2 linked regions of the Rattus norvegicus genome follow. The protein of the gene in region 1 purifies or fractionates together with the protein of each later gene. This does not show direct contact. Links are inferred from orthologs where the notes say so. Each region holds a gene or a part of one and is shown in the gene's direction. Other genes may lie near its edges. The genes, in order: Arpc2 and Actr3b.

Region 1 (3,818 bases):
TTGTCAGATCAGGGAAACAGTGTTTCTTTCCACTCCCTGTTGGCCATGTATGGGGATACAAGTCATTTGTACCAGGACCCAGGAGGTAGAGTAGGTGGGTCTCTGTAAGTTTGAGGTCAGGTTGGTTTACCTGGAGAGTTCTAGGCTAGCTAGAGCCACATGGTGAAACTGTGTTTCATAAAACAAAAGAAAAAAAAAAAGAATTGGCTAGTCAAATGTGAGCTCAGATTTTACAGCTAAGTGTCCAGAAAGGCAAGTGCTTGACCAGGCGATCTGAGAAGATTTGTAGCTCCTAAGGTGGATGCCATCTGTGCATCCTCATTGCCATCAGTGCCCAGTCCGCATGATTGCCGTGGTTCCCATGCAAGTTCTCTGCATTCTGGCCCTCAGCACCTAGCTTCAGTAGTGCTGCAGTGCCCAGGTTACTTCGTAGTGCAGGAAGAAGGAGCCTCAAGAGATGCCCAGAGATTAAGCGACTTCAAAGATAATCATTTGTCTTGTCTTGATCTTGTTAGATTTTAAAATACTTATTTATTTATTATTTTATGTATGTGAGTACACTGTCCTCAGACACACCAGAAGAGGGCATTGAATCCTATTACAGATGGTTGTGAGCCACCATGTGGTTGCTAGGAATTGAACTCAGGACCTCTGGAAGAGCAGTCAGTGCTCTTAACCACTGAGCCATCTCTCCAGCCCGATCTTGTTAGATTTTAATTCAAATATTTTTATAAAGATTTATTTATTTATTACATATAAATACACTGTAGCTGTCTTCAGACACACCAGAAGAGGGCATCGTATCCCATTACAGATGGTTGTGAGCCACCATGTGGTTGCTGGGAATAGAACTCAGGACCTCAGGAAGAGGAGCCAGTGCTCTTAACTACTGAGCCATCTCTTCCTTAACTCATATATTTAAGACAACAGTGTTTGTGGAGGTTTTTTTGTTGTTTTGAGACAGTTGGTAATAGTTGAATAGCTTACCAGGTATTTAATATTAAAGTAGAATCTTTTGTTTGAATTTGAGCATGACTGATTATGGTTATGTTCTTGTAATATTATGTCTCCCAAAGATACATCTTGATGTATGTATGGATTAGATGTCTAGAATTTGCTTTGTAATAAATTAAGGTGGGGTGAGTACATTTTGATCAAAGCCCCATGTGCTGATCAGCATTAATGCTACATAAGTAGAGTTGTTTATAGCTTTCTTTCTCTTAGAAACATGTCACAGTGAAGTTTTTTTACTGTTACTTTAGTATAAACTATGGTTACACTAAAAATAGCTTTGTAATTTTAAGGGAGACCAAAGAGGAGGCCATGGAGCAATTCCATAGCAGTTTTTCAGTTGGCTTCCCATGAACTAAAAATAAACATCATTTTACTTGCATCTTTCTTATCAGAGGCCTCCTCATGGCCAGCCCTGTGGTAGGTGCTGGGAGATTACTCCTGTTTCCAGAGTGAGCAATCTTTCTTGCTTTTTTTCACAGATTTTGATGGCGTCCTTTATCATATTTCAAATCCTAATGGAGACAAAACAAAAGTGATGGTCAGTATTTCTTTGAAATTCTACAAGGAACTTCAGGCACACGGAGCTGATGAGGTAAGTCCCACATTGGTTTCCTTGGAACTCTTGTGTTTACTTTACCATTTGTTGGCCCCCTGCCCTTCAAGGGGGGCTACATCACCTTACAAACAGGCCACTTTATACAGCTAGCTGGGGGTTCCAAATTCCATTCCCCATAACAGTGTTTTCCAGAGAAGATTTTGGCTCTTTGCTTGCTTGGTTTTATCTTGGAGCAGTATTTCCTGAGCAAAGTTTAGAAGCTTTTTTATAAAGGTCTCAGGTAGCGCAGGCTTGATGGAAAGCCTCCAATTCCTGATTGCCGTCATCTTCCAAGTGCTAGAATTATAGGCATGTACCACCACACCCAGCTCGGAATTTATTCTTCTCAAATCATTTAGGTTAGACAGATTTTACAAAAGAATGAAAACAAAACAGCTAGTCCTCCAGAAATAACAATATTTCCTTAACTGTACAAAAATAGTTATGGCAACAGTGAGACAGGTTCTGTCCCATATTTAGAATCTTATCAAGGTGGCTTGGAATTTGTGCTGCATTAAACTTCATAGTCTTGGTTTTCATTCTGAAAGTGAAGCATAAATAACTGTTTTGTCAACCTTTTTAAGTGACTTTTCTTTCGAACTGACCTTTCCACCTATCCTTATAACTATACCATAGGGAAGTGCGGCCTGGTGCCTTGTGCCTTGGCTTTGGATAGCCAAAGGAGGAGGTGTGGTTCCTGTTGAACTGCAGTTGCTCTGGGGTGAGCCATTTATGGAAGAAAGAAAATGCTTTACACCAGTGTGTGCACATTGTGGTTGGGTCTCAAAGCAGGAAGTATGACTCAGTTCCTGAATCAGTTTTAACGAACTAGGCTCTCTTAATCTGCTCCATGAAGAAGCAGCCATTTCTCTCTCTGAGAGTGGTAGCTTTTGAACAACTTCAGATTTCTGAAAGGCTGTGTACTAAGGAATGTGATCTAGAGCTTGTAAAGTCTTGCTCTAAAATCAGACTTAGAGTTCTAAGATCTGTAGGGAGCTGAGCCCTTTTTTGTTCAGGTGCTTTTGATTTGCTGAAGGGAGAGAAGTAACTGGAGGGAATTTGAGGTAGTTTTATCAGAAGGCAAGCTGGTCTGTTGCAGCTTGCGACCCAACCTGGTTTGGATTTGTAAAGACTCATTCCATCCTGTGCTTGGTCTGCTAGTGGAACTCTGGAACACATTGCAGTTTTCATAGCTCCCACATAGGCCAAAGAGCCCAAGTGGGGGAAGGAGCGACATTCCCAGTGTGGGAGTGGAGTAAGTGACTCCCTAGGTTGGTTAAACAGTGACCAGCCTGTGATAACCACAGGAAGCTTGTTACTGTTTCACAGGCCCTTTTTAAAAGCAGAACGCTCTGCTGCTCCGTAGGCAGGTTTAATAGTTATAAGTAGGTAGGCTGACTTCCTCTTCTCCCAACTATTAAAAAGAGGCACAGATGTAAAGGTGAGTCAAGGTTGGAAGTGTGAGTGAACAGTGTGCTGCTGTGGAGACAGCGTGAGCCCAGTGGGGGGGGGGAGGGGCGGGCGGGCAGGGTTTGCAGGGGGATCATGAGCTCCAGGCCACTGTGGGTTATACAGTGAGACTGGTCTTGGGAAAATAGCAGAGAAGTGTACAATGGTTATGATGCAGAAACAGAGAAGGCCTCAATGGCTCAGTGGGTGAAAGCACTCGACATGCAAAGCTGGTGGCCTGACTTCAGCCTCCAGAATCATGATGGAAGGAGAAAACTTGACTTCTAGAAGTTGTCTTCTGACCTCCACACTTGGCACCAGCAGCCACACACATGATAATAATCATAAATAAAAAATTAAGTATTTAGGGCTGGACAGATGGCTCAGCAGTTAAGAGCACTCCCTGTCTGATCTTCCAGAGGTTCTGAGTTCAATTCCCAGCAACCACATGGTGGCTCACAACCATCTTTAATGGGATCAACGTATATGTACCATAAACAGATATTTAATAAAAGATATTTTAAAGAACAAAGGAATAAAAAGAATTACAAATGTGGCTCTAAATACTTTATAAATTTCACAATATTCACTTGGTAAGACTGGAGGAGCTTTGGCTTCCCTGTGTTTGATACTCCCTTTCTTCAGTATCAATTGTGTAGGATTATATTCAGAGGGGGCATGCCAATGTTCCTGTTATACCCCAGACTTTTAGGAGAAGTGGTGTGTAGAACACCTGAAGATCAAAACTCCACATGCTGCC
Region 2 (3,818 bases), on another chromosome or scaffold:
AACTGCTCAGGTGCAAAGCCTGGCTCTGTCTCTCGGAAGCAGCATGACCTTGGTTGTTGACATAGCAGTACCTACCTGATAGGCTCCCCTGAGGACCCAGTGACAGTGACACACAGAGGAGCAGCCAAGTGCTCCCCAACTGCTGCTTCTTACTTTAGTGATTTGCATGTGTCTGTCTGTGGAGATGTAGTAGAAGACATGTATTTGTGACTCGGAGGTGTCTCCAGTCCCCGTGGTAGACTGGTTGGCGTTCTTTTTGTAGAATGTATTGGTGGGAGTAGGAAGGGCCAGTGACATTGAGAACGTGCCCTCACCTGCTAGGTAGTCAGGGAACGTTTCCAGGAGGGGATGATTCCCGCAGAGACCTGAGGATGGGGAAGAGTATGATCAGGGGTTAGGGGTGTCAATGCAACAGAATCTTTGTTTCATAGTTCATTAAATTCTGGAGTGAAGTTTATATGATTATTATCACTAATATGTACTGCTAAGATCTGTGATATTGTTGTTTGAATAATTATATTTCTCTTTTTGCAACAGATGCCGGCCTATAACCCAATAGCTTCGTTTTAATTGGAATGCACAGTTTCCCCCTCTTTATAAATAAGCTCTATATCTAAGAACTAAGATGTCATTTCATTAAAATGACTTAACACATGCACATTATTTTTCCCTTCGTCTTCTATGTTGTATAGAACTTTGCCCTCCACCCTATTTTACAACCACCCCAACCCGAGGTGGGTATAAGGCCCATAACATCCCCTGCTTGCTTATGGGGTCCTCCAGATGAGGCTGATTAATAACATTGCTTCTGTGCCGACATTAAAAGCAGTTCCCTCGCATCCCACTGAGATGATACTAGAAGAGAGCTATTTGTTTCTCTGTTACGTCATGTGCTCGCCACGTCTCCTGTGAGCATCCCAACCCCAGATACAACCTAAGCAGTCACCATTCACTTGTTTGGACATACAGATCACGTCCATTTCCTGAAACTTCAGGTAGCGCATGGAGACTGCTGGCGTCTTTGTGAAAGAAAAACATCTCTCTCCCTTCAGGTATTGCCATCCGAGAGTCGGCAAAGGTAGTTGACCAAGCCCAGAGGAGGGTGTTGAGAGGAGTTGATGACCTTGACTTCTTCATAGGGGATGAAGCCATTGATAAACCTACCTACGCTACCAAGGTAAAGTTGTGCCGCAGTGCGCTTGGGTAAGAGCAGAGCCAAACCGAGCAGAGCCAAGCCGCGCAGAGCCAAGCCTCGCAGAGCCTGGCTGTGCCTGGAGATTGTACCTGTGCGTTGTGGGCTGTCCCTTTCTTACGCTCAGGAGGAGGTGGTTAGTTGAACGGGGGCGTTGCTTTTGAAGAGGTGCATTTCTGAGTGGAGTACCGAGTCACACCGGTGTCAGCAGGGTGAGCAAGCTCTGCCCTTCTGGGAAGGTGCAGGTTGACTAACTCATGTCAGATTTGGAAACTTGCAGACTGAGTGACTAAGAAGAAGCACTAATATTAAAGCAGGCATTTTGAAGACATGATTTACATTACTTTTTAAATTTAGCATACCAAGCCATGGATTGCATCCTGGCATTTTCATAGACACAAGTCACTGTACTTTGTTCTTACTCTTCCCTACTTCCTCTGATGACCTCATGAACTCCCTTGTCTACCTGTCCACCTTTGCAGTTCCCTCCAAACACTCCTCTTCTCTGCCCTCATGAGCCATGAACTTCACCATTCTCCTTTTCTCCTGCCTCCCTTAAGAGCACTTCCTCTCCACTCATGGTACCCTTTTGCTTTCACTCATTACAGTAACACACAGACATACACGTACATTCATACACACACACACACACACACACACGAGAGAGAGAGAGAGAGAGAGAGAGAGAGAGAGAGAGAGAGTTAAATCTAGGTTCCATATATGAAACATGCAGTCCCTGCTTTTCTGAGTCTGGCTTATTTTATTTGCCCCAACAGTCTCCCTTTGCATCCACTTTCTTGCAATTGTCATGATTTCACTTTTTAAAATGGCCATTGTGTACCGGTACTACACTTAAAAGGAATCCACCCACCTGTTGACTGACATCTGGCTGGGTTCCATTTCTTGGCTACTGTGAATACACAACGGTTGCCATGGACATGCCTATGTCTTCCAGGTTCATGCCTTGGAGTCCTTCAGTTGTTACATGCCGTACGTGGGCTCCCTGGGCTATACTGTAGTTCTGTGTTTAGTTCTCTTCAGGAACCTCCACACTGACTTCTATAATAGTTCTGTCGGTTTACAGTTCACCAGCAGTGCTCAGTAGTTCCTGTTTCTCCACCTCTTCACCAGCAAAACCAGTGTTTCTTCTGTAATCACAAAAGGACCAGAGGGCGTTGGATGTAGATGAGTCTGCCCATGGCTGCCCAGGTAGTTCCACGTACTAAGAGGAGCTGCCGTAAACGCACTGGAGAAGTAGTTCCTTATAAACCATGCTGTTTATATTCGAATCACCGGGAGCTTCCCACAGGATGCCTCCGTTCTGTTGGCCCACACGGCCTCCTCTGTGCTTGCGTGGTGAATTTGTTGCTTCTGTCCTTTTTGCTCCAGTGGCCTATACGACATGGCATCGTTGAAGACTGGGATCTTATGGAAAGGTTCATGGAACAGGTGGTCTTTAAGTATCTCCGTGCCGAACCTGAGGACCATTATTTTTTAATGGTGAGTAGTTGGAACCAAGAGAAATATATTCCTGCGAATTCCAAAGTACTTGGATTTTTTTAAACATAAAGTCCTCCTAAAGACTTTGGCATGAATCAGGCTGCTTTTAGGGCCAAATACCAGAAAGTGCAAGAAAAATATCAAGGACCTAAAAGGCTTAGCACCCTGTAGCTCAGGAAGGCCGGAGCCTGGCTGCCTTGGGCCGCTCAGTTCAACAGCTTGGAGACAGACTGGTCTTTTAGTATGGCATCTTCTTGTGGCTCTCTGGTGCCTCAGGACAGCTGTCCAATTCTCTGTGTTGCTACTTCAGAGTCTTCGTGTATGTCTGCTCAGTAGTGAAGGAAACTTCCTGAAGCTTAGCAGCCATTCTGAGGAACCTTCCTGGTGGTTTTGCCCAGTTCTTGAGTTGTCAGTGGGTCTCTTAGACTGAGAGGAGGGGTGGCTACTGTAACCTCCAGCACAGGGTCCAGAGAGGGAGGCTTGGGTGGGAAGCTCTTGTGTCCTCTGTGTCCTGGAGAAGTAAGTGAGTGTTATTCTGTCATAGCAGAGGATGTCACTTTGCAGTGTTTAGATCCTACTGTAAGAGGGAGCTGATCTGAGCCATGGACTCTGCTTATGACACTTAAGTGTCCTGTGAAACAAATCAGCATAGAGAAATAAGGAGAAGCACCTCTCGGCATCTATGAGATCTGATTGTTCTATTCAACAATGTTTCCTTCTGTGGAGTAGCCTTTTTACATTAAAAGTAGTCCAAGGTAGGGGTTGGGGATTTAGCTCAGTGGCCCTGGGTTCGGTCCCCAGCTCCGAAAAAAAAAAAAGAAAAAAAAAAAGAAAAAAAAAAGAAAAAAAAAAAAGAAAAAAAAAGTAGTCCAAGGTATAAAATGCTTACTTCATAAACAGCAACTCTATACAACATAAGCTGCATATTAAACTCACATGAATAAGCTTTGGATTTCTCTATGCAAGTATATTGTTAAATGGTTTCAAATTCAGTTATAATTATTTCCTACACACACTCTTTAGAGTTGTCTGGTTTAGAAGGTGGTAACTACAAGGCCAATAGTTATGGAATCTACATGTTTAATGTCTATCAAGGCAAGTCTTTGAGTGTGCTCTGACCTGTCTC

What was found.
Region 2: the proteins of Arpc2 (region 1) and Actr3b purify together in Homo sapiens (affinity purification with mass spectrometry; 6 studies listed by BioGRID and IntAct, counting the BioPlex papers as one, with this or other methods). This does not show direct contact. The link is inferred for Rattus norvegicus from reciprocal best matches to the Homo sapiens genes ARPC2 and ACTR3B.

The regions. Positions count from the first base shown.
Region 1 is NC_086027.1:83,279,810-83,283,627, forward strand, and holds part of Arpc2 (actin-related protein 2/3 complex subunit 2), read left to right. Parts: intron 1-1,493; coding exon 1,494-1,606; intron 1,607-3,818. UniProt on the Homo sapiens protein: Actin-binding component of the Arp2/3 complex, a multiprotein complex that mediates actin polymerization upon stimulation by nucleation-promoting factor (NPF).
Region 2 is NC_086022.1:10,037,300-10,041,117, reverse strand, and holds part of Actr3b (actin-related protein 3B), read left to right. Parts: intron 1-1,052; coding exon 1,053-1,177; intron 1,178-2,581; coding exon 2,582-2,692; intron 2,693-3,818. UniProt on the Homo sapiens protein: Plays a role in the organization of the actin cytoskeleton.